Oryzias latipes: one gene and its partners. The protein of the gene in region 2 purifies or fractionates together with the protein of the main gene of each other region. This does not show direct contact. Links are inferred from orthologs where the notes say so. Each region holds a gene or a part of one and is shown on either strand. Other genes may lie near its edges.

Region 1 (9,709 bases), on a different chromosome or scaffold from region 2:
CATTTTTTTTACACTATTACGGGAAAACTTTTTACAATCTGCTATTTAGTTAACAAAAACACTGTTTATTTTGTTTGCGTTTTTTGTCTAAGGTGGATTTCTGCTGTAAAGTGTTTCTGGATGTAAATATTTTAAATAAAATCCCAGTTTTTATGTGACTTGATAGCAGCTAAGATGATCAGCGCTCCAGGCTGTGAGAGGTCGAGCTGCTTCGTCTCAGTCCAGTCGCATCCGTAGGAAATCCTCCACTACAACCCCATCCCACTTCCATCTCTGTGGCAGCTTCCTCACGAGGGCTTAGCCAAAAGACCAAAAAAACAAAAGAAGTCTAGAAGGATCAGATGTTCACATGGAAGTGTCTCATTAAGGAAACGCAATTATTTGGGACAAGATGTGAAAGTTGCTGCTCATGCAATACACTTTATTCAACCTCCAAAAAGAAGCCAAAGGTTCCACCATGGAATCAGATAAAGACAAACAGAAGGTTTAGCCAAATCAGAGATGGTTTTCGGCAGTATGATAAGTTCTCCGGACTGTTGCGGACTTCAAAAAGCGGCTGCAGCTCCTGGAAACAGACCTTCTCTTTCTGCTCTCAGCAGCTGCAGGAGACGAAGAATGCGCGGCTGCAGGTCAGAGATTAAAAAAGCCATCTGGGAAGAATTAGCATGTTCGAGCTTTAACAACTGTTGCTGTAGAAGCTGTTTCAGTTCTAACGTTTATAGATTTTAAGCTTGATTTTCAAACAGACCTTAATTAGTGGAGGCCTCTTAAAGTTAAACTAACTGTGTTTCAGCTAATCACATCTGTTTGGAGTGAATTATGGTGAATATCAAGCTGTAGATCATCAAAATGGGTTTTTATTTGCACAGAAGTTTTAGCCCCAACACCTGGAGACCTGCAGGCGTAAACGGACATAACTGCAAATGTATAACCTTAACTTAAGAGTTCTAGTTGCTTAGCTTAAAGATCAACTCCGATGTAAATGGTGTTTTTAATATGTGATGAGAAGTGGGAGTGGGATTGCCCCACGCCAACAGACCCACAACTAAGAGGTGAATTTCTAATAAACTGCTGCCGCTCTGCAGAAACCATGTCCTAGAAAATGACAGGTTTCTTCTTAGTTTTGGCAAAAAAACCTGCATAATCGTAGTTAAATGACCACTAGAAAAACTTTGAACACAGATCAAAAGTTGATCTAATTCAACATGGTAGCAACAAAATATTAAAATGCCAACATCAATTCTTCAGATATTAGCTTATCATTCGCTAACAATATGCTGATGTGAAAGACAGGAAAGTTGGTACATTAAATCCCCAATAATGTGTTTAAAATAAGGACTAACGAAAAGATCGATGTCCAGCTGTGGTGTTCCAAACTTTAGTCACAACATAGAACTATTTCACTTGAAACATGAGAGAACGGTCGCTCAGACCGGCACGCCTCATAAATCCTCACATTTACATGCTAAGGTACGAGAGGCTTTGCATGGGCCCAACAGCTGATTTCCCGTTAATCTACCTCAGCTTCTGCCAAATGAAGATCTACTCAGCGTGTTGGGTTTACCCTGAATGTCTGCAGACAGAAATGACCCTGCCACAAGCCCCTAGACTAAAACCACCCATTGACGCCTAAAATTAATTAAGTTTGCGTCAGGGCGCCCCCACTATCCTGTCACCGTGCTGCTACGTTGACCGTATGTTGCTCTGTGTAGAACACACTGGAAGGAGGGGGGGGGGGGGGGGGGGGGGGGTTAGCACGCAGGGGAGAACAACTTGGAGCTGCAGAAGTGTGAACAGGTAGATAGGCGGGGGCGGGGCTTAGACTCACCGCTTATGATTCCAGACCCGCAACAAACTAAAAGCTGCTTCCTAATAAAAAATAAAGTCTCATCCGTAAAATTAATATACTTTATTGGGTTTACTGGATTTGGCTAGACAGACAGAAAAGCCTATTCAAGGTTGTGTTAAATGGACAAAAGATCAAAGGAAACATAACGCTCATAAATAAGTAAATAAATATCCTGACAGCATTTTGAATCAATACAAGTATCGCCAAATGAACTATCGCGATATTTCGGCAAAATGATTTTTTTCTAACAACCCTAGTGTTGCGGCTCCCTGTGCTTTCACAATGGCTCTTTGAGTGGTACAGGTTGCAGATCCCTGCGTTAAACCATAAGGCCTCATATTTCCATCCTTCTTGCATGTGGACACTTGGTGTCTGGTCAGACCTTCATGATTTAATGACTTTAAAGTGTTGATATATGTGCCGCAGTGCATTCTGGGAGAGCTTATACTTGGATTTCGATTTGAGCCAAGGTACAGTTGACTTATCCGGACTTTTGTCGAGTCAACGGCAGCTTTTTCATGACTTCGTATTGTTTTTTTACAGCTTCATGAAAGGTGATTGAAGTCCCCAAAACCATCCCCTAAACCAGGGGTCGGGAACCTTTTTGGCCAAGAGAGCCATAAATGCCACATATTTTGAAATGTAATTTCGAAAGAGCCATACAATAATGTAGTGTCCCTTTCCCACACTGAGGCACGGAGACTTAACCTCTTTTAAAGTTCTTTATTCCGATTACTGCAGACCGCAACAAACGCCGTACAATTAATTCAGCAACTCCTGAATCTCTCCCGCCGAGACGAGTGCGCTTCTCCCAACTTTATATTCCCCTGCTACCGCTGCAGCCCCTCCCATTTCCCTTATTCGGCCCATAGCTGAACCCCATTGGTCCAAACTACCTAACAACAGGCTGAGCGACAGAACTGAGAGCCAATCAGATCTCTGCTTGACGCGTTCAATGAACTCCAGAACTTTTAACGCGGCCCAACAGCCATCCAACTCAGTCCGCGACAATTTGTTTAAAACTAAATATACAAGTGAATGTGTGCATTTGATTTAATTTCAACATTTTTAAAGTACAATAAGTCTGTGGATTCTTTTTAATAACATTGTTATGCTGTTGCTAATAAATGATGAGTATTTCTCGTGGTAGTTTTGCTGATGGTCTAGTCTGGTTGATACGTGGTGAGTTTCTGCTTCGTTCAGGCGTTGAGACTTTAAACGTGATCGTAGGTCTGAATGTTCTGTAGATGTGAGACAGACTGCTCACATGCAGACCTGGAGTTAAACACACACTCACACGCCGCAGTGAGTGACAGGCAGCGGGTTTTACGTTTTTACAATCCCTGCGCAATTCACCTGCTGCCTGTCCCCACAACCCCTCACCCCCACCCTCTGCTTTCTCCCTCACACATCCCGTCCCCGCATCTGCGCGCTCTTTCTCAGAGACGGGAGCGCGTAGTTTTAGGCACGTCAATTCACAAGTTTCCAGCTGGTACAAACTCTGTGAAATAATAGATAATAGTAACTGATAGCGCTGGCGCAGATTTCTCTCTCTAAGCACCGCTACTACTGCGCGCTTCTGGCATCGCATCGCGCCCGAGGACTGGTCTAATGAAAAAAAAAAAAACTATAATTAAAGATTTGTCTGCGAGCCACATGTGACCATCAAAAGAGCCATATATGGCTCGCGAGCCATAGGTTCCCGACCCCTGCCCTAAACACTGAGGAAACGTGACATAAGGCACAGACACATCGTGAAGAGTTATGTCAATGAGCGCAGTAAGGAGCGCCAACGGCCTAAAGCCTTTAGTACTGAATAATAAACTGCATGTGGCAGGAACAAAGCTTGGAATTACATTAATTGGCAGATTTAAAAAATATATTACAAATTGCTAAAGCACCTGAATAATGTCCTGTGTTTGGATCATAGATAGGGAGGATGTAGAATCTAGAAGACAACAAGAAAAACCTCCATATTGATACCTGTGACTACCAATACCTCCACTATTCTCAATCATTAAGACGTAAAATATTTTAGGTCTTTTATTGACCCTCTTTTTTTTATTTTTGTGTTCAGAATAGAAAGTCCTGTCATCTTTGCTCACCGAATTTTCTCTCTGGGCATTAGAAAAACGTGGCTGGTTGTTTCTACTGAAAGGCTGATCCATTCCATATTTGTTTGAGGTTTAAATGATATGAAGTTATTTGCAGTTAAAGGCGAGAAGTAAACAAAATCCAACAGTGTTCTGTGTTGAGCTGAGATAAAATAAAAATGACAAAGGAGGAAGACCCACATGCCCACAAAAGGTATGTCCACACCTGCCTCCAAGAACTGCTACACATCACAACATGCAGGTCCCGACAGTTTTGCTTCCTCGCAATAGAAGTCCAAGAAAGACACTACCACGAACTGCCTGGAACACCCTCTCAGTTCAGGTGAAGGACGGTGTCTGCACGTGCCCGTGCAATCAACAGAGATCAGCCTCGCTGCTTACCTGTGTTTGGACAAGCTGAGGGGGGTGTTGCCATTTCAGCAGGGCAGCAATTCCAGTGGCGCTGCTGAGGAGGAAAAACAAGAGGAGATGCGTCCAAAAATAAATAAAACATCCGCAAAGTTAGCAACAGTACAATCACCCTGGATGATCATGGAGGTTGCAGAAATGTCTGAAATGGCAAAAGCAAAATAAATGTGTGTGGGGGGCCTAGGCACCGAGAGTCTGCACAGATGCCGGGGAGCCGACAGCTGTCACTGTCCAAAACAGACATTCACGCTAAGCTAATGCTAGCGTGTCTGGCTTGGAGTTTAACGGAACATTCAAGCTAATTTTCACCCCAACAGCCAAGCAAAGTGGCACAAAAACTCCCAAGTAAACACAAAAGTGATCGGTGGCTACAAATACACACTTTGAGTCGAAAGAGGTTGTAAAGTAAACAAAACATGACATGTTTTCCTGCTTACACCCCAATTTAGCTCGCTGCTAGCATACCACAGCAGCTGCGCATTAGCACTAGCCGCGCACGAGCTCTTTTTCTGTCCCCTTCGCGCTCAAAAACAAAGCAGACATTTCTGCGCAGTTCACAGGCTCGTGCTCACTTGTCATCGTCGCCACTTGCGCGCTGCGTCTGGTGACAAACGGCCTCAGCATTACAGCGCTACTTCCGAGTCACAAAGGAAACTTTAACCGGAAAACCCTCCTTCTCTGTGGGACTCAGGGAGACCCACTTCCTCCACGACGTCACCGGACGGTTACAGCACTGCTGCTGCGGCACACGCTGTCCGCGCGGACCGATAAATAAAAACAAACCATTGGAGAATTACCAACATAAAGGGTGGAGAAAACAAAACTGATTCAGAGAAGTGCTTCTTGATTGGTGTTTGTCTCCCTCTAGTGACAAGGTGGAGGCACTACAGGTTCCCTATTTAACCCTTGTGCTATCTTAGATGACCCCACCCATTGACGTGTTCTCCCTACCATGACAAAGGTGGACAGATTTCATGTAATCCATGGACACCAGTGAAGATCTCAAATCATTGAAGAAAAAAAAAAAGGTTCAGAGCACCGTCTAGTGGGTCTAGATGACCCAACTCCAACGTTAAAGTGCCTAGGATAGCACAAGGGTTGAGTATCTAAGTCCCACTGATTTTGCCGGCTTTATCCTAAATAAAATTCAGATAGTGTTTAAGGGCGGCTCTGGATTGTTCAGCGTTGGCCATCCATTAATTCACGTTTATAAAACCCTTTGAATTTTTTAAATTAGAGATTACATCCAGTTTTGCAGAACGAGCACCCTCCGTTGCTACTGCTTACTTGGCCAACTGTCTTCAGGGTGGTTGTCACATTTTAAAATGAGAAATGATACATGGCCAAAAAAAAAAAAAAAAAAAAAAAAAAAAACTCAATTTAGGCTTTGATACATTTGGGGTTACTATGGCAACCTCCAGCCACCATGGCATTGCCCCTGCCTGTTTTATACAAAGGAGTTTCTGCAGAGCAGCAGCAACTAATTTGCCTCAGAGTTGTGTGAACGAGCTGTTTATATGCTCTGCTAGCTTATAGCCTCACATTGACACAATTTTTGAAATTTGTTTTTGGGCTCTACATACAAATCAGCTGTTAAAGTTTAGCCATTTAAACTTTAACCGATCAGGGAGCTGGATTTGGGGAAGGCATAGCATCCTTTACAAAGCACGTTAGTGCCCAGCCGGCATTAACGAGTCTCTGGTATCAAGAATTATGTGCAAGTAAAACCCAGGAGCAAACCTGTTGACTGCAGGTGGTACTTGCTTGTCCAGTGCAACTCTGTATGCCGAAAGTGCACTTATGAAACCACACATTTCATGATCTTGATTGTACAACACATGCCCAGTGTGTCGAGGACAGCACCACTGGTGCAATATGGTTCGCAAACTCTGCTGTGCAGATGCCAGCTTGAATGACAAAGGTATACATCTGAATTAAGTGTAGCTTTTGACCTGCACAGCAGGTTTGTCACAAAAGACCACTTTCCAGGAGCTTCCCAAAAGAAAAACCTCAGAAATCCAAGTCAGTCCATTTTATTGGAGAAATAGAAACAAACTTAGGATAGGATAAGATTGCAACATCATGAGTTGAAGTTGTTGAGCTGAGTTGTTCTCACCTGTAAAGAGAATGTTAGGTTAAAGCTCATGTCTTAAATAGTCAGTATTTTAGTTGAAGTACCTCAGTAGGCCTTGTGTCCTTTGGAGTCAGTCATTGGAAAGTTCCCCTTTCCAGTATCCAGCAGAGGAATGTGGTCAAAGATATCCTGAGTGTATTTGGCGTCGGAGCGGAAGTCCCGTGCTCGCTGATACCCGCTGCTGACGCGGACGATGTGGGATGAGGGGTACAGCGGGCGCTGCTCCACCATGCCCAGGGGAACCTGGTCAGGGGTCCAGGCGAAGCGTGGGAAAGGACGCTCAGGTTTGTAGCTCATGGCGTCTTCAGCGATCTGTCCCAGTCCTGCATCCTGCTCATTGAAGACCACATTTGATCCACGGCCAGAACCACCAAATTGGGAGATAGCGCCACCACTGCTGTAAGTGGACCCGTCGAAGCCCATCCCGGTCTGACCTGAACCTACTAACAAAAAAAAAAAAAAAAAAAAAAAAAAAAAAAAAAAAAAAAAAAAAGTTTCAGGAGAATTTCAATGAGCCTTCAGCTTCATTACACCAGAGTTCAGCCAAAGACAAACATCTGTACCTGCTTTTCTGGGGGGATAACAAGCACCAAAGCTGAAGAACAAAAGGCCAACCAAAGAAATCCTGTAGAGAAGAACCTCAGTAAATCCAGAACCAACAGTACCCCAAACAAACCAGAGCAGAACTTACTTCACCACACTCTGAACCATCTTAGCAGTTTGGAAGGACAAAGTGAAGACAAGAATCTTCCCTTCAGTTTCTGAGGCTCCGTATTTAAACTGTTCTGTGGTCGTGGATCTCTTTCAGTGGAGTGCCACCTGATTGAATTAACCTAATGAGTCTCACCTGGTGCCCCAGGTGAACTGCCAGCATGACGCTAATAATTGATGGAAACGCTGGCAGCACTGACTGATGGGTTGATGTAACTCTCTGTGGTTTGCTTCTCTGTTTCTTTTTTCTTCTTATGGATCAAGTAGATTGAAAATAGAAAAAACGAATGTGTTTACTGACGTGTTCGTCTGTTTAATAAATAAATCTTTTTATTTCTATAAGGAAAAGTTTGTGGTTCAATGTGTGGTAACACTTTCACTTTACAGTCTAAGATCCTAAATTAACTTTTATTTTGAAAACATTTAAAAATGTAATGAATTCATATCAAATATTAAAGCAGATTCCAGATTCAGAGATTGGTTTTCAGAAACTAGATTAAGCTGCTTTCAGTGATTTTAATTTGACACATTTTCAGTTCGTCTGCATAAATAGTAAGCGTTCCTCATTTACTTATGGCGTGCAACAGAGCTCTGAGCTGGGACTGATACTACTTTGTTTTTACATACTTCCATTGGGCTTTTTGGCAGCACAGATTACTTTATGTTTCTATGCAGATGACACTCTGCTTTTTTTCAGTTTAACACTGTTATGTGATTTGATTTACCAGCCTACAATCATGTCTAAATGATTAAAAGCTAAGCTGACTCCAAAAATAGCATTTTAATTTCGCTGGAATGGGAGTTGATGCTTTGACCTGAAGAATTCTCCCTGAATTAATATAAAGTTTATTTTTTACATAATTTAGATCTTCATATTAAGAGAAACCTTGATGTATTGTAGGACCAAAGATGTTCTTTAAACAGAGCTGCTTTGATCTATTCAGTGTTGCCAAAAGGAACATTTCTTCCAAAAGAAACACCCATCCATCCGTCCGTTCATTCGTCTGTCCGTCCATGTGCCTGTTGGTCCGCCCGTCCTTCTTTTCATCCATCCATCCATCCGTCTGTCCCTTGCTTCCTCCCACTCTCCCTCCCTCCATCCATCCATCCATCCGTCTGTCCCTTGCTTCCTCCCACTCTCCCTCCCTCCATCCATCCATCCATCCATCCATCCATCCATCCATCCATCCATCCATCCATCCATCCATCCATCCATCCATCCATCCATCCATCCATCCATCCATCTATCGCAGAGCCACATAGAAATGACTTTGAGCATTTGTTACGTAAAATCTGATCAGCTGTAATTTCTGCTCTAAAGATAATTGTGAGGAAGTTTAGAGCAACAGTTTTACTGTAATGGCAGAGAAAAACTCTCTGAAGCACATAGCAATGAGACTAGAACGCCATTTAAAGGACGCCAAAGCACAAAGACTCAGATTTCATTAGTTTCCAAACAGAGAGTGGTCTATGTCAGCCTGCAGTTTTTATCGTTCCAAGAAATCTCAAAACTTCAAAAATAACCAAAAAATCTGACACAACAAATGATAAAAACAAATATCAAGATTTGGATGGAATCTCTTTTTTTATTCTCATTTAAGGACCTTTATTTTTAAGACAAATGCAATCAATGACTCCCATAACAAAGAATTACTTTTCTGAAAGATTCCAACAACTGTTCTCTGTCGTTGAAAGCTGCAAACGTGAATTAAAAGTTATTCTAAAACAAATCATTGTCATCATTTTTGTTATTCTCTAAATGTTTTTCCTGCTTGAACTTCAGAGAGGGGTGAAGGGCTTTAGCATAAAGATAACATTTTTAATCCATGGCTTCAGGATGTTGTGACTCAGTAAAATCCTCTAAATATCCCATCCTGGTGCTTTTTCATTGGTCAAAGTGGAGTCTTTCTGTGGGAAGAACGACTCTGTCTTCTCTCAATTGAGCTGTTCTAAAGTTAGATGAAAGCCGGTAAAGAACAGCAGAAGATCGCCCCAGACAACAAGAGAAGAATTTACTGCATGCCTCATTTTAAATTGTGAAAAAAATAAAAAAATAAAACAAACACTTGAGCAAAACGTTTGTAAATCTGTAAAAGGAAACACGAATGCAGTCCCCCTCATTTCCTGCAGAGGGTGTGAGCTCTGCAGGCCTGACTGCTGCTTTGCACAGCTGGAACTGGGATTTTTCAGGGCGGTGAGCAAACCCTTACTCAGCCCCCATCCTGCACGGCAAAGGACATTTCCCATTCCCTCCCCAGAACCAGAGGTGGTGTGTGCATGTCTCGGTGCTCACACATTCTCACCTGCTGGTTCCTGTCTGTTCTGTGTGTCTGTGTGTGCGCACTCACCAAGTGTGCTTTGACTGCGTGAGGGGAAAGAGGAGGGCCAGGGGGAGGTTGTAGGCAGAAACAGAGACTCCAATGTTTAGTTTTACAATCCTGAGCCCAAAAGAATAGGAAAGACGGAGATCCTTTTCTTCAGACGAGTCGAAGC
Region 2 (10,062 bases):
TCTCTGGAAAGGTATGTAAATAATTACGTTTTAAACATTGGAAGGAAAGAGAAAATAAATACATTTTGCCACATTCACGTATAGATTTCCCTTTGGAACAGTCCAAGTTCTCAGATGTTTCAGCAGCTTCAGACCCAAACCTGATGATCAGAACCAAACTTGGACCAAGGATTCATGGTTTCCTGGTGTTTGAGTGTTATTGGAAGTTCAGGATGATGTCATCAGTGGTTTCATCCCAACAGTCTCCTTCACCTTAAAGCCTCTTGGCGTCTCCCCCCACCATGTTGTGTTTAGACTAGCTTGGACGTCTGCGCAACATCCCGCTCTCATGATGGATGTGATCCAGACTCTGCAGACGCTCGTGCAGCCGAGTGGGAACCGCGTCCACCTGCAGCATCCAAATGGCGGCGGCGGCAACCTTCCCGACATTTCCAGCGTTCTTTGGGTGGAGAGCTCTGACCTCCGCCCTCACGGCAGTGGAAGTCTAGAGGTTTCCACGCCGCGCGCTCATATCTGCATCCATACCTCCCCTCCGTATCACTGAGGGGAGTTGGGGGTGGGGTGGCGGGGGGTGTAATCACAGGACTCCAAAGACAGCTGCAGCTTATAAGGAATGTGAGGGGCCTCAGCCAAGAGAGCAGGCAGGGAAACCATACCATATATGGTCTCAGAGACAGAATCTCATTTTTATCAATGAGCAGGGGGGGGTTCAGAGCGGCACCGCACGCCGGCTTCAGCCCCCACCCCGAAGGAGCACCCCCACACTCCGCTGGCGGCTGGGAAAACACCATGCGGGCTAACGGGCCGTCCTCAATGCCGTGTAAACACCCGGGGAGGGGGCGGTCCCCGCTTCCAGCATGCGACTGACTGCCCACGGGGTGGCGTCGCCGGAGAAGACGACTTCTGAAGTCATTTCATTCATTCTTGTTCTGAACGTAAAGCACGGGTCACGTGTTCCGAGAACGCCGCCATGCTCTTCATCCACAGACCTGCTCTGACCTCTCTGCTCCTCCTGGGGGCAGAGGTCAAAGGGGAGGTGCACAGGAGGATCCGTCGGCCTGCCGGTTTAGACCTCAGCCATCGCAGGAATCGTACTGCGTCCCAGCCGCAATCGTGTGTTCTAGTTCCAGGTCTCGCTTTTGACTGTCCCCGATAGACGGGACGCGTGGCGGGAGACGGGACGCGCGGCGGGAGACGGGACGCGCGGCGGGAGACGGGACGCGTGGCGTTTACACTTTTCCAGCTCCATCAAGATGCTTTGACCTACTTGAAGACGTTTGGGGTAAATTCATGGGGCAGACGAGACGAGGTTGGAGGTAAATCCGGTTTTTCTTTTTTTGTGTATTTTAAAAGCCTAAACATGCCAAAGTACTAAACCAAAACTAAAGGTCGGGTTGAGATGATTTGGCAGCTGGTTCATATCTTCTTCAGAAACTGCTGAAGTTTAGTCGCATTAGAAAGTAAACGTGCAGCGAAAATGTTTCGTTTTTTCCTTTTTTTGGGACCGAGTCTGAAAGAAATCATGTCTGAATTTAGGATGGCGTCATGGCGACCTCGTCTGTAAAAACCCTGGAACGTGAACAAAGGCTGTTCTCAGGTTTAAGGTCCGTAAAACTCCAACAATGTCATCTGCTTGTGTCACATTTGGCAGCGACTGGAGCGATTCTCTTCAGATTACAAATGACGACACGGAACCGTCCCTCCACAGCCCCCTCAGAGGTGGGTCAGACGGCGCCGCTCGCTCCTGAAGCTCACCTTCGTGTCGCCCATGCTCTCCGACTCCGACACCTGGTAGGTAAGATCCGTCTCCTCGAAGCCCGTGGCGCTCATCCGCTGGTCCATGGAGGGGTCGGACCGAGGCGGCGAGTCCGGGGAGTTCAGGCACGTCTGGATCAAGGCTTTGCCCGTTTCGCTGGTGATCATGGGCTGAAGCTTGCGGGTGGCAAAGGTGTAGACGTGACCCGTTTCACTGGCCACCAGCAGCAGAACCTGGGTTCCTGTGAGGGTGGACAGTTCATACGCCTGGAACGAGACCGACAACACAACATGAAGACCGGAGCGGAAACGCGGCCCTCAAACATCTCAACGGGAACGTCAGAACTCCAACCTGCAGAAAAATCCAGAAATAAAAGTGATGCATTTCACCACAGAGACCAAAATAGCAGAAGATAAAGGTTCGAGTCCAGGAGAAGCTCGTCCCTCCAGCGAGGAGGACGGAGGAATGGCTTCCAGCAGATGCTTGGACTCAGACTGCATCCAACACACACATCCGACCAAACGGCTGCACTCAGCCTGAACTCCCCTCAGAGTCATCGCTCATCCTGAAGATGCTCCCGTCACCGTCAGGGAAGGCCGCCATCCCCCTCAGCACACGCCGGCGGGGGCGTCGCCCCAGAACTCGCAAATCAAATTCAAATTTGAGAACTTTATGGAGCCGTTGTAAAACCGGCGAAAGCTTCAGAGTAGCGGTGGAGAGCAGCAATCGTCCAGCCCCTCTGCTCCTCGCCGTGACTCCACGCTCACCTCCCCTCGCTGCCTACCGCGGCGCCGCTTCAACAACACCGCCGAGTCTGGCCAACGTCCAGCCTGGAAAAACGGACTCATTTGTCAACCTGAGCGTGGACGGCGGCCTTTAATAGGGCTCCTCGCTCTGCCAATTTTCACATAAATATGAGTAGCTGCAGGTGGGGGTGGGGGGCTGCTGTCTCCGCCTGATTGGTTCCTTTGGCACAACTAAAGCGGAGCCATTAACGAGAATTGCCGTACAATAACAGGCATATGTTAACCCTTTAACGCCTGTATTCATGCCAGCTGTTCTCAGGCTGATGCTCAATAAAGTTATTTTGGAGCCAAAGTGGTTTGATCCATATATGCATCAACAGACGTAAAGAAGTTCAAATAAAAACTTTGGCTCTTTGCTGTTTTCTTAGGCCTCATCCGGGTCCAAAAAGACTCGAAACGTCCTAGCAAAAGAACTCAGGAGCCCGAACCATCACTTTATCTCAGGCCGTGTTGGGGGCCACTGAAAACCAGCGGCAGATCCCTGCTCCCTGTAAACGACACGGCGTTCACCACGAACGACTCCACCGCTCGCCGCCGAGGAGAAACCAAAACGTCCATGAGAAGGAACCACCTACGGACCAGGAACAGAACCTCCAGCATCACGTGGATCCGTCAAAATGAAAGTTCAGAGCTACGATGAGTCGTCCCACTCCACCCACCTGTCAGCTCCTGTCAGGGCTGACGGAGTGTGGGCAACAGAAATCTCCATCCCCTCATTGTTGCCAAAAGCCCACATGAAGACACCACAGTTTCCACGACAACAGTCTGGGATGCATCAAAACACAACAGTTTAGATGGTGCTGTGGAAATAAAAACACACTGAAAAAAAGAGGAGTTTTTATGAAATCTGGCTCCTAATGACCTTCAGATGATCAGCAGAATATTTCTGTGTGATCGGGTTTTTAAGAGAGCGGTTCCGTGTGCAGAAGAACCAAACATGAGTATTCAATGAGGTTCTGCTCCTGGTTCTGGGTGCACCATACGGTGGTCTGTGCAATCGTCTGGTCCGGTTCCCGGGGGTTTAGTCAGCTGTTGGCACATGCAGGCCTGCAAGCCATGTGGCAGCTGCATACATGCATGCATGCATGCATGCAGCTCCATGCATGCATGCATGCATGCAGCTCCATGCATGCATGCATGCAGCTGCATACAGTTATGTGGGGTGAACTTCGTCACAAGCAGAACCGGGATCCTGCATCCTCTGAGGAGGATGTCAGAACTTCCAGACCCAAACTCTGGACATGCTTTCCTCCTCTGAGGGAGCTGTCAGCTCACAAATCAATGAACCAATCATCTTAATCAATCAATGAGCGTGCACGCGCCTCACACACTCACCTTCTTCATGATGCCCGTCTTCCTCTTGCTGAAGGTCGTGTACCTCCGTAACTTGTTGTCTATAAACTCCATCTTAATCTTCACGCGCCCCCGGGTCTTCTTCCCGGGCTTTGCCCCGGCGACTCCCCCGGACACCATGCCGTAATCTCCGGGGGTGACTCCCGCCTCCTGCCCCGCCGCCGCAGCCTCCATCATCTCCCCCCTCTCCCGCTTCACCCCTCTCCTGCTGTCCCCGAGTGACCCCACCGGGTCGTCGTCGTCCCCGGACTCAGAGTCGTTGTCGGAGCCGCTGCACACCCGCTCCGGGTCGAACCGGGCCCCCATGGGCAGCACGACGCCCGCGTTCAGCCCCACCATGTGTCCCGGTACGGCAGCCTGCAGGGGGTTCCCTCCGGTCCCGTTTCCCGGTCTCGCGGCCCTCGAGCCGCCTGGACCGTTGGCTCCGAGCATCCCAACCGCGTCCCTGTCCCCGGCGTGTCGCCCCGCAGCGCCCGCGCCGTCGCTTAGCCCCGGTCGGACCAGGACGGGGCGAATCCCGCCGCCGACAACCCCCGAACTGTGACCGGTGCTGCCCTTGCCGGACGCGGACCCGTTTCCAGATGGTACCGATCCAGCCTGGCTGGGTAACATTATATTTAGGTGACCGACCGAGTCCCGAGACACCAGCTGGAGAAGCTGGAGCGTGGCGTTGCGTGAGTGCCTCCTGATATATACCGCACGCGCCGGGGCCACGCAATGTAAACAAAGCGCTCAGTTGATTTGGACGCTACGAGACATTAGTGACCCAGACTTTGAGAGTGACGCTGCCCCCGGACCCGCGAACCCGGCTCCGTTCGGTCCACACTCCTCCTCTATTTCCAAAACTCTCCGTACTTTCTCAAAAAGGAAAGCGCGAACAGCTCCGTCGATATGACTCCGCTGCGTCACATAGTTCGCCGTGTGAGCAAAAAAAAAAAGGCCGAATATAACACCCTATGTACTCACGCGAAAACGTGAAGGCGTCGCTTTATTTACATTATTTAGTTTACGTGGATCAGAAATGCATAAAATGATCCCGCATTTTAAAAAGTTATCGCCACGGCGGAGTGATACGAGAGCCAGGGAACTACTTTCCTCCTTATAAAGAGATACAACGTTTCCTTATATGGTGCTGTCTCTCCTTATTTGGTGAGTCACAACGTCGCCTGCTGATTGGTTGAAGATTATCTGACTAAAGCAGTGATTGGACGATAATAGAAGCTCATTTGAATAAATACCAAAATGGTTGCAGTGATGTCAACGTCACAGTCAACGCTCATGTCGCCGAAAAGCGCAACAAAAACACAAAGTTTTCCGTTACAGATTATTTGAGTTTTTTGTTACGCAGTTTGTAATTCAAACATTTGTCCCCATCAACACAAATGTAGAAAAAAAAACATTACAAGCCAACAATAAAATAACGTGAAAAACAAAAAGTACAACAAAAAGCGCGTGGTGATTTATTTCAGTCTGCTCGGGCCTCAAACTCACCTGTTGGTCTACCTTTATTATGACGGCTGGACCAATGAGCTGAGGTCACCAAACTGAGTCTAAAGGTCACGGATGGAAAAGAGCTTCAAGGTCAAAACTGGTCCAAAACCATATTCCTCTTATTCTAAAGGTTCCTGTTAAAAAAAAAAAAAAAAAAAACTTTATTAAATCAGCCAAATCTGGAGCAGCTACAGCCCAACACCACCCAACCTAAAGAACCCCCCCCCCCCCCCCAAAAAAATGTGGCTTTTTTCTAATTGACATTTCATTTCTTTGTTCAAATCGCTGTGAATCAGGAGCAGAAGAAAAGATGCTGTTTGAAAAGGATTCATAAATATGCTGGGTGGTCACAAGCTGGTCTAGGCTTTCAGAACAGTGATGGGAAAGGGGGCGGGGTGGCTCCACATTAACAGCCTCGGTGGAAGACGACACAGATTTGTTTTAGGCTAAAAACGGCATCATCACTTTTAAAAGGCCACTAGGAAGACTTTGAAAATAGGGCAGAAGATGATGAGCAGAACTTCAAAGATTTCAAAAATGGAATTTAGAAAAAGTAAAGTTATGTTCCATCAAAAAAAAAAAAAGACAAATCTGAGCTCAAACTAAGAAATTAAAGGATAAATCCATCGTCATCATCACGGTGTGCATATATGTATATATGTCAGGTTAAACTTGTCATGGAAGTCAACAGGAAACTACATTAGTTTAAACATGAGCATAAAGAACTTTCTTTTTAAAAATAGGTTTAAAAAGTTTAAAAACAAGATCAAAACGGGCCCAAGAGCTACTAGTTTCCCTCAACGATGGATGGATTTAGAAATAATCAAGAATGACTGAAAACTTATCTGGCAAATATTTATGAAATTCCACAAGCTTTGATAACAATGAATATTAAACCTAATTATGAAATGTTAGAACACTTAAACACTGATTTTTGAGACCATGTTCTTTTTTAAACTAAATCCATTTCTACATAAAAACACCTCCCCCTAGTGGCTGTTTAGGTTACTGCACGGCCACCTCTTGTGGTTCTGACTCGAATCCTCAGAACCACATTTCCATGTTCTGTTTACATCCCCGATACTTTTTTATGTCTTCTAGAACTCTTCAAGTGTCAGAGTGTGAACAGAAGTGTCGCCAACATGACATCACTCGTTATTTTTAACCACGCAGCTGCGAGCAGAGGCCGTCGACTCTGCCACGAGCTGGAGCGTGCAGGAAGAGCACTTTGACTCCATTTCTGCTCATATTTAGACAGCAAAAGATTTTAAATAATACAGAAAGAAATGTTTTTTCAGCTGTTAAAATCGTTGGAGCAAATATTTGTTATTTTCTGAAGAAAAGAAAAAAGAGCATTAGAAAATGACAATATCGTCAATAGAGAAACGAGACGAGAACCAACCTGAGTGAAAACAACGAACCTTTATTGACAGCAGCTTGTATAGTCTGGAATATATCGGATTATTGTGAACCTTTGCTGAAGCGTATTAAAACAAAGTCTAGGAGTGAGTTCCTAGCATTCATTTAAAAACAATACACTAAAATCCACATATATATATATAAAAAACAAGTTGATAAAAAAGGACTTGCATTTGATTAGATATCCCAAAAAAAAGGGGGGGACTGGTTAAGATAATCCTTCATTTTCCAGGCACTTAAAGGAGTTCTGGTGACCCGCATTTGTTGGCTTCTGTTGTCGGCGCCTTCAGACTGTGGAATGAACAGAGAAGGAGCTCACAGTCCGTCTGCAGAAACAGGACCGTCATCATAAATAAGCAGGCGCCTGCGTCTCCGTCTGCACAGCGGGAAGCAGAAGGAGCGTGACCTGAAGTTAGTGCACCGCTTCTGCATCAGAAACACTTGGCCGGGCCGGGCCGTGCCGGGCCGGGCCACGTGGTAGCCACACATTTTTGGACCTCGGAGTTTCGTTTGGACCCTTGAGTCGCGGGGTGAAATCTGGCGACAGGCGGAATCGCCGTGGCGTCCGCATGGTGGTGTTTGCACGTCAACAGAGGCGAGAAAGCGCCTCCAAAATAGAAAAGCCACATTAGAAAAACATAGAAAAGTTCACACTGGCACAATCTCATCCGTTTGTGGTCCTTGGCTATAAAACGGGATCTTCTGCTCGTGGATTGTTGTGGATCAGCGAAGCGACAGACGACAAACCTTCATGCAGACGTGATTCACTCCCCAAACACACAGACACACACTTTGAAAGTTTGGAGGGTTTAACGGAAGCATCCGTCCATCCTCACAGGGTCAGGGGTGGAGGGGGGGCGGAGGCACTGCGGTTGTGTCCAGGAGGGGCTGCAGATCACCGGGGGGAGGGGGGGGGTTGCATTTAAGGCGGAGCTCCGGCGCAGCTCAGAGGGACGTTCACACTAACTGACATCAAGAGTCTGATCCGCGCTCCGGATCGAGTCATAAAGTCGTTTTTCTCTTCAACCCACCTCCCGGGTCGGTTCATAATCCAGCATTTGTGTCCCAGCCGCGAGGGGGGGGGTTCTGCTCAGACCTTGCTGTCAGACGGCAGCTCCCCCAGCACGTGGACGATGTCGGTGAAGGACGGCCGCTCCTTGGGGCCGAGCGCCCAGCAGCGCGCCATAAGCTTGTAGATTTTGGAGGGGCATCCCTCTGGGGGGGGCAGCTTCAGCTTCCCCGCCTTCAGACCTGCAGCACCGAAAAGAGGTTCAGAAAAAAAGCGGGACGGTCGTTCTGACAGCCGGCGGCTTTTCTCACCTTCCAGAACCTCCTCGTCGTCGAGTTTGGAGTACGGCATTTCCCCGTGACTGAACACCTCCCACATCAGCACGCCAAAGGCCCACACGTCCGACTTGGTGGACAGGTCGTCCTCGAAGACGGACTCTGACGGCAGCCAGCGCAGCGGGATCCACGACTGTCGGTAGTGATAGTACTCGCTGTGCACACATGCAAAGAAAAGGAGAACCTTACTCCTCAAAGTTCCCGCCCTCCTGCGTTTGGCGCCTTTTTCCCCCCAGCAGACCTGTTGTAGACGTCCTTGCTGAGGCTGAGCGAGGACACCTTGACCCGCCTCTGGCTGTTGATCAGACAGTTTCGGGCGGCGAGGTCTTTGTGGACGAAGCGATGGTTGGACAGGTGCTCCATGCCGCGAGCCACTTGAGCACAGAGAGACATCTGGACAGAAAGGCAAAGCTTTTGTAGGGAGATCATCCGAACGTCAGAACAGAAACATTTCAGAGAAACATCAGATGATTTAAAGAAATCTTCAGGTAACAGGATGTAAACCTTTGAATATAAACTAATCATATGCAGCTGAGAACAGGACAAACTGACAAAAGACCAGATCCCGATGAGCGGATGGGTCTGGCTGGTTCATACGGGGTCAAGAGGTCACCCATGTGTTTTGGTGCTAAACCGTTCAAAGAAAGACCTCAGAACTGGACCGATGCGGTTCTACATTTTTGGTCCCTGTGATAACCCCAGCGTTCAAGTTCTGAATCGGTTGATGCTTTTTTTTTGGGGATAAAACCACCGTCACAGAGGTCACGCCCACTAAAGAGGAACGCAGGAAGTTGTTTTTTCCCGCTTAGACATCAGATCTTTAATCCTTGAATGTTTCTGGCCTGGTTGGTGCTTTTCAGATGAATAGATTGAAGCTCTGTGTTATATATATGTGTGTGTGTGTGTGTGTCATCGGCATAGTTATGGTAGCTAATGCTGTTCTAACCACGCTGGTCAGAGCTGCGCATGAAGAATTCATTAAAAAATAAAACATTTTTCAAACTGGCAGCTGTTCGGTTGGTTTTATCTCCAGAATAGTAAAAGTACACTTTGGGATTTCCTTGGCAACAGAGGAGTTTTCTTTAACCACACCCACATTCCTAATCTGTTCATGCTCCTTGCTATCCAATTTTCCCAATATTTCAGGAACAGAAAACTGCGAGCAACAGAGGAACGCCACTTCTGCACGCTGCTAAAAATCTACAAGCTTGTAAAACCAACATGTTTTTTTCCCCAGCTGCTTCTTAATGATGCTGGAGGATATGGGAGGAATTGAAACGTGGGTGATTTTTTATTCGTTCCTGAGGTCAGACTCACTTTGGTTTTGGTGCTCAGAGGCTGAGACTTCACTTTGTCGTCTTTACTTTTGGAGATCCTCAGATATTGTTTCAGATCTCCCTGTGAGGGAAAGAGCCGGCAAACATGTGATGAGGAGAAACGCGTCTGAACTGTTTTTAGCGTGTCAACACACGGATGTGCGCGTACCCGGTCGTAGTACTCCAGGACCATGTAGTGCGGCTCTGCTTCCCTGCACAGGCCCAGCAGGCGGACCACGTTGGCGTGGCTCAGCTTGGAGAACATCTCCGCCTCGCGGCGGAAGTCTTGCTGCAGCTGCTCGTCTCTGGTCTGCAGACTCTTCACCAGCACCACCGTCTCCTCCTCGCCCTCCTCGATGCTTTTGGCTTTGGCCAGCAGCACCTCGCCGAACTCGCCTTTACCTGAGCAGACGTTCCCGCCTCAGATCAGAGATCCCAGGAGGACAGAGGCTGAGGGAGGGGGGGGTTGTCATGGTTACCTAATGTGGTGATGGTTTGGAGGTTTGCCCGAGGAAAATGAAGTTTGTCGCTGTTGACGTGGCTGTGGCGTTTCTCAGTCGTCGCGCTGGTTCCCATG
Region 3 (10,008 bases), on a different chromosome or scaffold from region 2:
ATCAGCTGCTGAGTCTGCTCAGAGCTGCAGCATTCCTGAGCGGTCAGTCACAGACCCTGAACTCTCTGCACGTCTGTCTGATCTGACAAAACATAAGAAAAATCCACCAAAATATATACTTTTCCTCCTTCTGGGGCTACATAATCCTTCAGACTTGTGCTTCCTTGGTGAAAATCTCATTTATGGTTGGTGGAAAAGTTGTGTACCCATAATTGACGCACATTCATATGAGATAACTGCCTGTTAGAATTCATCTCTATACATTTTCTAACTCCTGGAGCATCAAAAATCCCATTTCACTTGATGCTGATGCAGCGGGACATGTTGCCATGGTAACACACACCATACAATTATCCCAGGATGTTTCTCTCCACTTATTATTTCATAAAATATGAAACTGTCGTTGTCACATGAATGTAAAGTATGTTTGAATTTCTTTTCTTTTTTCCCTGACTGATGGAATTAAACAGAATAAGAGCACCATGAAGAATCATCACTGAAGGCAAACTTTCCTTCACACTGACATAAAACCTTTCTTTGTAAGTTTAGCAGTAAAAAGCTGCGACGGGGTGAGAGCAATACAAATTCTCATTTCATGTCATCATCAGTGGTCCTCCCGAGCCGCGGGCCAGTACCGACCAGTACCGGACACTTGGTACCGGGCCGCAGAGAATAAAAGCATTACTTACATTTTTCTCTGTTTCATTTTTCATTTGAAGTTTTATTTTGAAAAACTACTGGATTTTTCACCACATCCAACTCATTCTTGACGCATGTCAAGTCGCTCTGTCACGTGTCCAAAATCCATTCACTACCGCTAAACTGAAAGTCCCCAGGTTTGCAAAGCTTAACAAAAAAACGAACGTTTTTTGGAAAGTTTCTTTTTGCCTTCAACTTCAAAATGAAAGAAAACTTAAAAATTTAACAGACAAAAACCAGCAGTCTTTCCTCCAAATGTGGATTCTTTTCGACAGTTGTGAATTCACGTTTATTATTATATTTAAAAATGTACGTTTTAAAAAAGCGTATTTAGAATTGTAAATTCTATTTATTTTATTTAACCGTCACACCTTTGAATTTGCACGAAGTTGAAGATGGTGTCTGATTTTTAGCTTCCACTTTGAAAAAATTGATATTACATTTTAATGGTTCTTACAAGAAATCTAGTGTACACATAAAGTTTAAATCAGCTGCAGATATGTTACAGAGGATAAAGATAAACTTTAGGAGTTAAGAGAAATGTATAAATACTGTAGACATGTTAGGATAAGAAGTGGGGTCTGATTCTTTCGAGCATTACACGCATTTCCTAACTTTAAACACTAGAGGTCTCTGTTTGTTATAAAAGCTCTGTTATGCTAAAACACAGGTCGTGTGACCTGCATCTTTATTAGATTATCGTTGGAGTAACATAAGGTTGGAGCTCCAGTTTGAAGTTGTTTTCATTTGTCTTCGGGAAATCCGAACACGCTGCCGATAATCAGGACCAGACAGAGAGGAGAGCTGACCTTTCACCTCCCTATCTCACTGCTAATTGGGGGATACTTCCTACAGATACTCCCCTCAGCCTCCCTGAAGGCGAGTGTGCGTGTGTGTATGTGTGTGTGTGTGTGGCAGCTCTGGGGGGGGGGAAGGGGTGGTACTCACGAGGCATGATGCCCTGGTCTACCAGCTGCTCTCGTGCCCTCCTCTGCTGAAGTCTGAACTGTAACACTAAAGTTTGAAGGAAGAGGAGGGAAAAGAGACATGGAGAGGCAGGTGAGGGACCAGAACCAGCAGTTTCAGAGCAACACATGACTGAAGCCCCCACTCCCCGACTACATCCCAACCCGAAAGGCCGAGGCTGATGTGCGGTGATTCCACCGGCATGTTCTCCGCCACAGAAGATCTCCTAAATGTTCAGAGCAGGATGTAGGGGCCGATAAACACAGCTCCTGGCTTTTAAACAGATCTGCCGTCCGGTGTGTGGTCCACGTGCACGTGCTCCCCCGTGCTGTGTGTGTGTGTGTGTGGGAGCGGGGGGTTATAAACACAGAGCCTCCTCCATGTCTGTGCCTCTGCTTGTGTCTCTTCTGCGCCCCCCCCCCCCCACTTTTATCTGAAGGTCTCCTGGTCTGATTGTGAATCTGACGCATGAGGACAAAATGTGCCCCCCCCCCCACCGCACATCGCTGCCCTGCTGATGAAGACGCTCAGGTGGTTTTCGTCCAATGACACAAACGGGGGGGGGGGGGGGGGGTGTACAGTCCCATCAGCACCTCCATTATGTAACTGCAGACCCTTCCCTGCATCCCACATCTGCTTTAGTTTACACTGAGCTGGGGGGGGGGGGGTGCATCCAGCAGCAAGATTGCGATGAGGTCAAAGTTTTCTGTCATCTTCATGAAGCTGCAGGAGCTTCTGTCCAGGACAAAAAGCTGGAAGAATCCATGGAAAAAATTCCAAACTACAGCGTTCCTGGATTCTGCTGAGGTTAGATTGCTGCCAGGTAGAAGCCTCATTCTTCTTCACGCAGCAGCTTCTGACTCACGCTTTTTAAAAAAAACTGTGCTTTTTACTGACAGGTTATTAATAACCCAAAGCCTGGCTCGGAAACCTAAAACGCTGGTTCCAGCAGGAGAACAAAGGGCACGAGCCGACCGTCACATTTACAAGAGCTCAGATTTACAGCGTGTGTGAGGTACGGCCTCACGCCACCGCCGTGAACACAAACCAGGGAGGGGATGCTCTGAAGGAGCGCTGCCTCCCCTTTTACCCTTTGAAACCAGGAAAAAGTTTGGAGACAGCTGAGAATTCTCCCTCTTTTTTCTGTTTTGAAAGGGCTTCCTCTCTGTCCTGTCCTGGGTTGGTTGCATCGTCGTTGTGTGTTTTCTTGCGCTGGTCGGTGAACAGGATCTCCAAGAACCTTCTAAAGCTGCTTGGTCGTTGGTTCTCAGTGCATTTTAAAAACGCCTTCAGAAAATGTGTCACAAATGTGATTAATTTTCTTAAAACAAGCAAAATTTCCAATAGGTTGAAAAATGCTCTTAACCAGAACTCTTATCCCAAGAAAAAAGTTTTTCTCACGTTTTCTCAAACTCAGATTATTCTGCTACTGAAAAACTTTCTGGATAGAAGATTATTTTTCTTTTAAGACAAAATGAGATATTTTGTCTTAAAATCTTTTTTTATTATGTTCATAAGATTCAGTTTTTGCCATGCGGAGCTGCTCCTCCTGCTGCTTTAGCCTGCAGTGTAAATTGTTTGGTGCATTTTATAAAAGCCAGTAATGCAGCCTAAAGCGCTGACTGGACTTATGCCCTGGAAAAACGAAACATTCATACAGATTTGATAGTTTCTAAAGCTTAATTTTCATTTAACTCCTAATAAATAGTTGTTTTTCTTGTGTACTATTTGCAGATTGATTTGCTGTAGAATTCTTTGAAGATCATAAAAAGGATAATCAAATCCTTTTGCGACATCATTGAAATCTGTATTTTAGGTTGGTTTGGCGCCCTGCAGTGGACTGGTGACCTGTTTAAGGTGTAGCCCGCCTTCACCCAGCAGCTTGGTTGACTCCAACAACCCCGTCACCCTGAAAGGGATTAGTGGGCTCTGAAGATGGATGGATGGAGTTGGTTTGGTTAAAATCAGACAAATAAAGTTGTAGGTTTTATCTTTGCCAGGTAAAAATTCATCGTCAGTGTCACATTTTATACTACCTCCTCACGTTAAACATTTTCTGTAAAAAGCATGTGATTCTTACATAAAAATGAGAATTCACCTCCGAGTTGTGGCCGATGGCCCAGAGCAACCCCGCTCCCACTTCCCCTCCCCGTTACTGAGAGCTCTCTGTTTACAAGCTCTCCCGCTATCTTACAGCCCCTCACAACCCCAACCTAACATTACCATGGCAACAAAAATGGCCTCAAATATCGGAGCCATTCAGCCTCACAGTTTAGATCCAGACACCAGCTCTGACGAGGAAAACAAAGACAGAAATGGATCTATTTGTCTGGAAGTGGATGCATCAGAATGGAGAGGAGCGGGAAGTTTCTGGCCCCATCTGCATTTTCTACTAAAAAAATATGATAATTTTACAGCTGACTTTTTTTTGGTCTGCTCCTTAATTATGACAATTTGACTAAAGAAATAGTCAGAAATGCAGTTTTAAGATTAATTTCCTTTATATATATATGTCCTCCATTATCAAAAAAAAAAAAAAAGCCACAAGCTTTCACCAGAGTGGGTCTTTAAGACTCCGTCATGGAGTTTGAGCTCAGCGCAGCAGAAGACGGAGGAGCTCCTGAAGGAGAAGTTTATCTTTATCCTCTCCTGGGGCGGAGGCGAGAAGGCGCCTTTTGTCGGGGGAGCTCCAGCTTTAAGAGGACTGTCCCACACCCTCCCTGTCTGTCATCAGCAGTAATCGCGGGGGACCTCACTTCTCTGACACCCCCTCGTGGCTTCACCCATGCTCTCATGAATCAGCTCGCTGGTTGTTATCGGCCGTGTGACTGAAACATCAGGCTGCACACTGCATCTGTGGCGCGTTAGGGGTGCCCGGGTTACAGCAACACAGTCTGGTAGCCACCGTCTCATGCCCCCCCCCAGCACAGATGCCGCTTTCCGGTCGTTCCGAGCAGCTCAGAGGAAAAGCGTCATTTGCCTCTCCATCTCTGTAATTACCACGCTCGCAGCCATGCTGCTTCTCCTGCCTCCTTCCTTCAGGGAGGGGGCAGTGTTGGTCAGACTGCAGCGCCGACAGGCTGGAGCAGGGAAAAGGGACGGAAAAAGACTTCTTTGAAGCGCAGGACACATGCATGCCCTCCATTATCCACATTCAGATGACCTCTGACCTCCACATGGCTGTTTAATTCCAACCCCCCTCCCCACAGCAAGGACGCCGGTTGTGGAGAACAAGTGCAGCAACCTGTGACAACATCCCAGATCTAAATCCATTACAGCTGAAGTCACCCCCCCCCCCCCCCCCCCTGCACCTGCCACTCTCACTGCCAGCCCCCCCCCACAAAGACAGCAGAAACAGGAAGATTCCCCACCTGATCTGAACTTTCTTCGTATGAGGATGGAGTGCTCAGAGCCCAGCAGAGTCATAATGTTCACAGTACAGTTCCAGCGCTTGCAGGTCGCAAAAAGCAGCCCCCTTGACGTTGACCCTGGCGACCTCCGCTGCTGCCCAGACGAAGAAGAAGAGGCCCGCTCTGCCTCATGGAGGAAAAGAGCTGTGGAGAGCCGCTTTCTGCCTCCTCTCCTCTCTGTGAGTCTGTGGGCCGATGAGGCTTTGGTCCCATCCAGCTGAGAGCTCTGAGCACGCCAGGGACAACACACAGATATGCCCCGCTCAGGGAGGGGCCAACCAGCCAGGGTTCCCTCCAAGCCCCTCCCACGAGGCCCGAGGCGCAGCAGGGTTCGGCTGATGACTCCTTCCTCCCGCGCCACCAGAGTAAATATATCTGCCTATCAGCCCAGCTGACTGTCATTAGGGGGGGCAAGGGGATTACTGTAGATGACGAGAAAAAGATCAAGATAGAGACTTGCAGTCTGATAGGGGAGCACAGCAACTGTGTGTGTGTGTGTGTGTGTGTGTGGGGGGGGGGGGGTACAGAGAAGAGGGCGGGAAGCTTCTGGCTTGCATACTGACAATAACATTAAAAAAAGTTAGGAACCCCCCTTTTTTTCTTTCTTTTCATAGCTTTTTCTCTCATTGGTCCCCATTTTCAGTCACTTCTCCGGCTCCAAAAAACAATTTAGAAGTCTTCAGCAAATTTGAAATAAAAAAAACTTTGGTTCTTTTCAGGAAACAACAAAAAGGTCAAATGAAGATTTTCATTCCCAAGGGTTGGAGCTTCTTCCATGCTCTCCATTAGGCTGGATCTTCCCTGCACTCACTTTTTAACCCTTTAACACCTGAGCTTTAGCTCCAGCGTTACATTCTTTGGCCTGCCGTTGCATATTAAAGATAAAGTGTTTTATATCGAACATGAGGTGTTAAATATTGAACTTTAAAGAACCCCTCCAATGAAAATAGTGTTTTTACGTGTTTTTAACATGCCTTTGTAGCATTTTTCTTGCCAATGGAGGACACATCTAAAGAAAATGAAGATTAAAACTGTGTTTCTGAGTTTTTCCTTATTCAAATAATGATAAATCAAATGAAAAAATGCTGTTTCGAAAAGCTTGAAGTTTTGCCACAAGCTCCCTGCTCAGTTCTATTCTGATGCATCCACTTATAGACTAATAGATTCATGAATGTCTTTGTTTTCCTCGCCTGAGCTGGAATCTGGATCACAACTGCACGGCTGGATACCTCTGATAATGCTCGCCATTTTTGTTGCACCGCCAATGTTAGCAGGGTTGTAAGGGGCTGTAAGATAGCAGGAGAGAATGTAAACAGAGAGCTGATTGGAAATGAGCGCTGGCTTATTCCACGCCATCAATCCCACCCACATTAAGAGGTGAATTTCTAAAGGACCCCTGCTGCTCTGCAGAAACTATGTCCCAGAAACAACAGGTTTTTTTTTGGATTTTCTTGGGTCAAAAAGAACATAATTATCATGAAAAGACCACTGGGAACGCTTTGAGAACAGATCAAAAGATGATCAGAGTGGGACTTTAGAGGTTGCATATGGAACGTTAAGTGTTGCGTGTCAAATATAAGCTGAGCCCCAATCCGCTGATTCACAGTGATCGCGTATATAGTTGAAGCGTTACGGCACGTCAGATGGCGTGTGTTCTTTGGTCACCGATGACACCTAACTGAACTTTGACCTCCAATTTCTCCAGTTCCATAAAACAAATATTCCTACTGATTAAAGGCTTCCATGGATTGCCTTTGTAAAACAGATGAACCTGCCCTCTGTTGCTTTCAGAGCCTCCAGAAATGCATTGTTATTCGTTTCTCTATTTACAGGGATGCCGTTTCTTTTGCAGCAGACGCCTTTGGTGTTTAAAATGAGAGTGCAACACAGGGTCTGTTGGAGCTGCACAGAAACTGTACAGACTGGAGGGAAAAGGTTTACAGAGTGACAGCTGTGTGAGTGACGGCCTGTTTAAGGATTCGTAAAGTATGAAGGATTTTCAGCAGAAAAATGGAGGCCTCTTTGGAACTCTCGCTTTGTTTATGACAATTCCAGTGAAAGCTGTCCTGAGTCCTAAAAACCAGCGTTTCTTCCTGACGCTGTGTTTACTCCCCCGCCTTCATCGATACGCTCAGGAACACAACAGCTGATCGGCTGTGTTGTGTCTGCCGCAGCTCAGACGCCATCGGTGTTTGTGGCCAGCCTGAAGCCTTTGAAGCCTGAACCGGAGCCACCAGGAGTCCAGCGACGTCAGCCGGACCTGCACAGCTCCAACAGCTCTTTGTTCTCAGATTTTACGACTTTATGAAGTTTGACACAAAACCTTAAAGAATATAAACAGCCTGAAAATGTGATGAAGTAGAACGTGTTCTTGTTTTTGTTACAGAGCAGAACTTTGGTGCTTCACTCACTGAAACCAGATTTAAAGGATTAATGCTCACAGCTGAAGACGCTAAGTTTCTGGGGGTGGGGGGGTTGTCTGAACAACAAAGCTCAGGACAAAACAGACTTTGTGTCCTGAGAGTGTAAGAAAAAATCCTTTATTATCATTTATGATAAAAACAAACCAAAAAATACATTTGAAACCTTTTAGATGTTTTAAACATATCCAGCATGTAGCTTTTCAGAGGAAGTTCACCAGAATAGCTGATTGATTATTTACAATCAGAAGAGAAACTGTTGAAAAAGGCTCACCCATCCTGTAATAAAAAGTTTTGCTTAACACAATAAAATATAATTTCATCAAAAATAATTTCACAAAAATTTTTAAAAAGAAAATTGTCTTACATTTGGTTCGCTTAAAGTGAAACAGAGTTTGTTTCCCTCAATAACCCAGAAGAAATTTCTGGTCTAAATACACCCAAGTGGACACTGGTCCGGGACCAGGAACCACTCTTGGAGGTGGTCTCATGATATCTATTTCATTAACGCAGGTTTTTATTTCTGGTGTCTTCTTACAGACTTGTGTCTCCGTACAAAGGGTTGTAAGATGACTTTTGTTGTAACTTACTCCTACAAAGCAAGTTAAATTGGTTTGTATTTGCGGCTGAGTGATATGGATTTACGTCAAAGGTGTGGCACAGATGTCAGGTAATAAGTGGTTTTTCTACAAATAAAATGATATTTAAAATGTGGTATTTTAGACCAAAACATCCTTTTTTGGTTAAGCTGTATTTTTTGAAAACAAAACAAAACAAAAAAAGCCTACTAGCTATACTAGGGTATTTTCTGTTTGTTAGCTAGATCTATAACTTATGTAAACTGACACTTGTGGATCGTGGCATTGCTGAAGGACTTAAAAAAAAAAGCTCCACCACATTCATCTGTTTTTTTATGTTTTTTGATTGCTAGAACAATCTTTTATGGCTTTCTTTCCTGGGGTCCTCAAAACAAAATATTTCAATGCTATTCTATATAATTGTGTGGTCAGTCAATGAAGTTAAAAGACTCTGGATTAAGTCCGTTTTTCAAAACTTTCAGTTTATTTTGTGTTTTCAGCTCCACCACCAAGCTAACAAACACATCCACTTTCTCCCCGGAGCAAACGGGCGCCGGTCTCTAATAGTCTTTGATTGTAACTTTTTGACCGTTTACACAATCAACGTGAATCAGCTGATTCTGACCTGGAGAAAAGCGGCTTTTCATATCAGCTTTACCCCGACATGCAACACCTTACATTAGTAAGCATTTCACTAGTGGAAAGTGTGATATATCAACTCAAAGCTGCTTCTCTGCTTCAGACTCAGCTGGAATTACGTTAAGTGCGTAAACGGTTGAAGAGCTAAAACAGTTGAAAGAATGTCAATATGTTGTTTCTCTCTTTCATAAACACGCAGACAGTTCAACTTTATTCAACGTCTTCTTTTCTTGAGTTTTTCTGTAGCTACATACCACCACATTCTCTCTTCCACTTTGTGTACAAGCTGTAGCCACAGAGCAGATCAGTCATTCAGAGTGTTGTCCAGCAGCAGATCACTGCTTCTGCCTCGCCACCATCCATTTTCATCTCTTCACACCATAAACACAGCTCGGGTTTGTTGCTGCGAAGCCTTAAACAGACCAGCGTGATGCGTATGGCAAAACATGTAATATTTTAGCGTAACAAATGACGTGCCCTGTCTGTTTGCCGTTCGTCTGCCGGTTGACGTGTGCCGGAGCGAGCTCCAAAACCCGCACAATATTCAAGTCAAATATTTACACAGAAGCTTCTTTGGCTGCAAATCTGTCCTTGACGTTTGCAAGTGGCTTTGTCTCGCATGAGCCTTAACACACACACAAAGAACATAGGTGCACAAGTACACACATCTTTGGTGTGTTAATTAGCAGGTGGAAATGCTTAAAGGGAAAGTCTGTCAGAGGATTTGACAGTGTACACACATCTTGGAGATTCCTGAGGAGGTCATCCAGCCCTCGCTTAATCCTCCCCTTTAATTGGGCCCCGTGTCAGCGGACATAACAAGTCTCATCTGAACCGTCTGGAGCCACACGCGTGTTTGTGTTTGACTATGATAAAACCACAAAAGAGGGTCACACGTTATACTCTAATTAGACAGAGCCAGGAACAGTGTATCCAGCAAACGTGCAGATGGGTGAGCGCTGACCGTCAAGGACTTCAACGTCTTTGCGGTGGCCGCATAAAAAGCCAGCTTTCAAAACACAACAGTGCGTGTTTATTGGCGATATGTGCAGACTTGTAGATCAAAAAATGACTGTTACTGTTTGGTCTGATTTCTAGTGTTTTAGCTAAAGCAGATGTGATGAGCTAAACTGCCCAAAATATCATAAAAAATGATGTCCGAGCTCAGGGGGAGAATTACAAACAGTTTTATTCTTCTCGGAGCTCACTTCATTGTCAGTATCATCAGTTGAGTCAAGATTGGAATGGTGGTATGTGGGTCCTCCTCCTGCTGGCTGCTTCTGACATTTACACTAA

Evidence for each region.
Region 1: the proteins of srf (region 2) and mkl1 purify together in Homo sapiens (affinity purification with western blotting; 4 studies listed by BioGRID and IntAct, with this or other methods). This does not show direct contact. The link is inferred for Oryzias latipes from reciprocal best matches to the Homo sapiens genes SRF and MRTFA.
Region 3: the proteins of srf (region 2) and myocd purify together in Homo sapiens (affinity purification with western blotting; 3 studies listed by BioGRID and IntAct, with this or other methods). This does not show direct contact. The link is inferred for Oryzias latipes from reciprocal best matches to the Homo sapiens genes SRF and MYOCD.

The regions. Positions count from the first base shown.
Region 1 is NC_019877.2:1,888,332-1,898,040, reverse strand, and holds the start of mkl1 (MKL/myocardin-like protein 1), read right to left. Parts: upstream 5,176-9,709; 5' UTR 4,944-5,175; intron 4,831-4,943; exon of another isoform or gene 4,809-4,830; intron 4,409-4,808; exon of another isoform or gene 4,406-4,408; 5' UTR 4,379-4,405; coding exon 4,345-4,378; intron 1-4,344. Other genes in the region: uncharacterized protein LOC101163526, read right to left, coding at 6,551-6,948, 7,069-7,130, 7,197-7,216. UniProt on the Homo sapiens protein: Transcription coactivator that associates with the serum response factor (SRF) transcription factor to control expression of genes regulating the cytoskeleton during development, morphogenesis and cell migration.
Region 2 is NC_019873.2:29,038,549-29,048,610, reverse strand, and holds the start of srf (serum response factor), read right to left. Parts: upstream 4,874-10,062; 5' UTR 4,528-4,873; coding exon 3,898-4,527; intron 2,023-3,897; coding exon 1,756-2,022; intron 1-1,755. Other genes in the region: ptk7 (inactive tyrosine-protein kinase 7), read right to left, coding at 7,916-8,076, 8,146-8,324, 8,411-8,562, 9,487-9,567, 9,655-9,887, 9,965-10,062. UniProt on the Homo sapiens protein: SRF is a transcription factor that binds to the serum response element (SRE), a short sequence of dyad symmetry located 300 bp to the 5' of the site of transcription initiation of some genes (such as FOS).
Region 3 is NC_019877.2:20,225,533-20,235,540, forward strand, and holds the start of myocd (myocardin), read right to left. Parts: upstream 5,450-10,008; 5' UTR 5,092-5,449; coding exon 5,037-5,091; intron 1,714-5,036; coding exon 1,648-1,713; intron 1-1,647. UniProt on the Homo sapiens protein: Smooth muscle cells (SM) and cardiac muscle cells-specific transcriptional factor which uses the canonical single or multiple CArG boxes DNA sequence. Acts as a cofactor of serum response factor (SRF) with the potential to modulate SRF-target genes.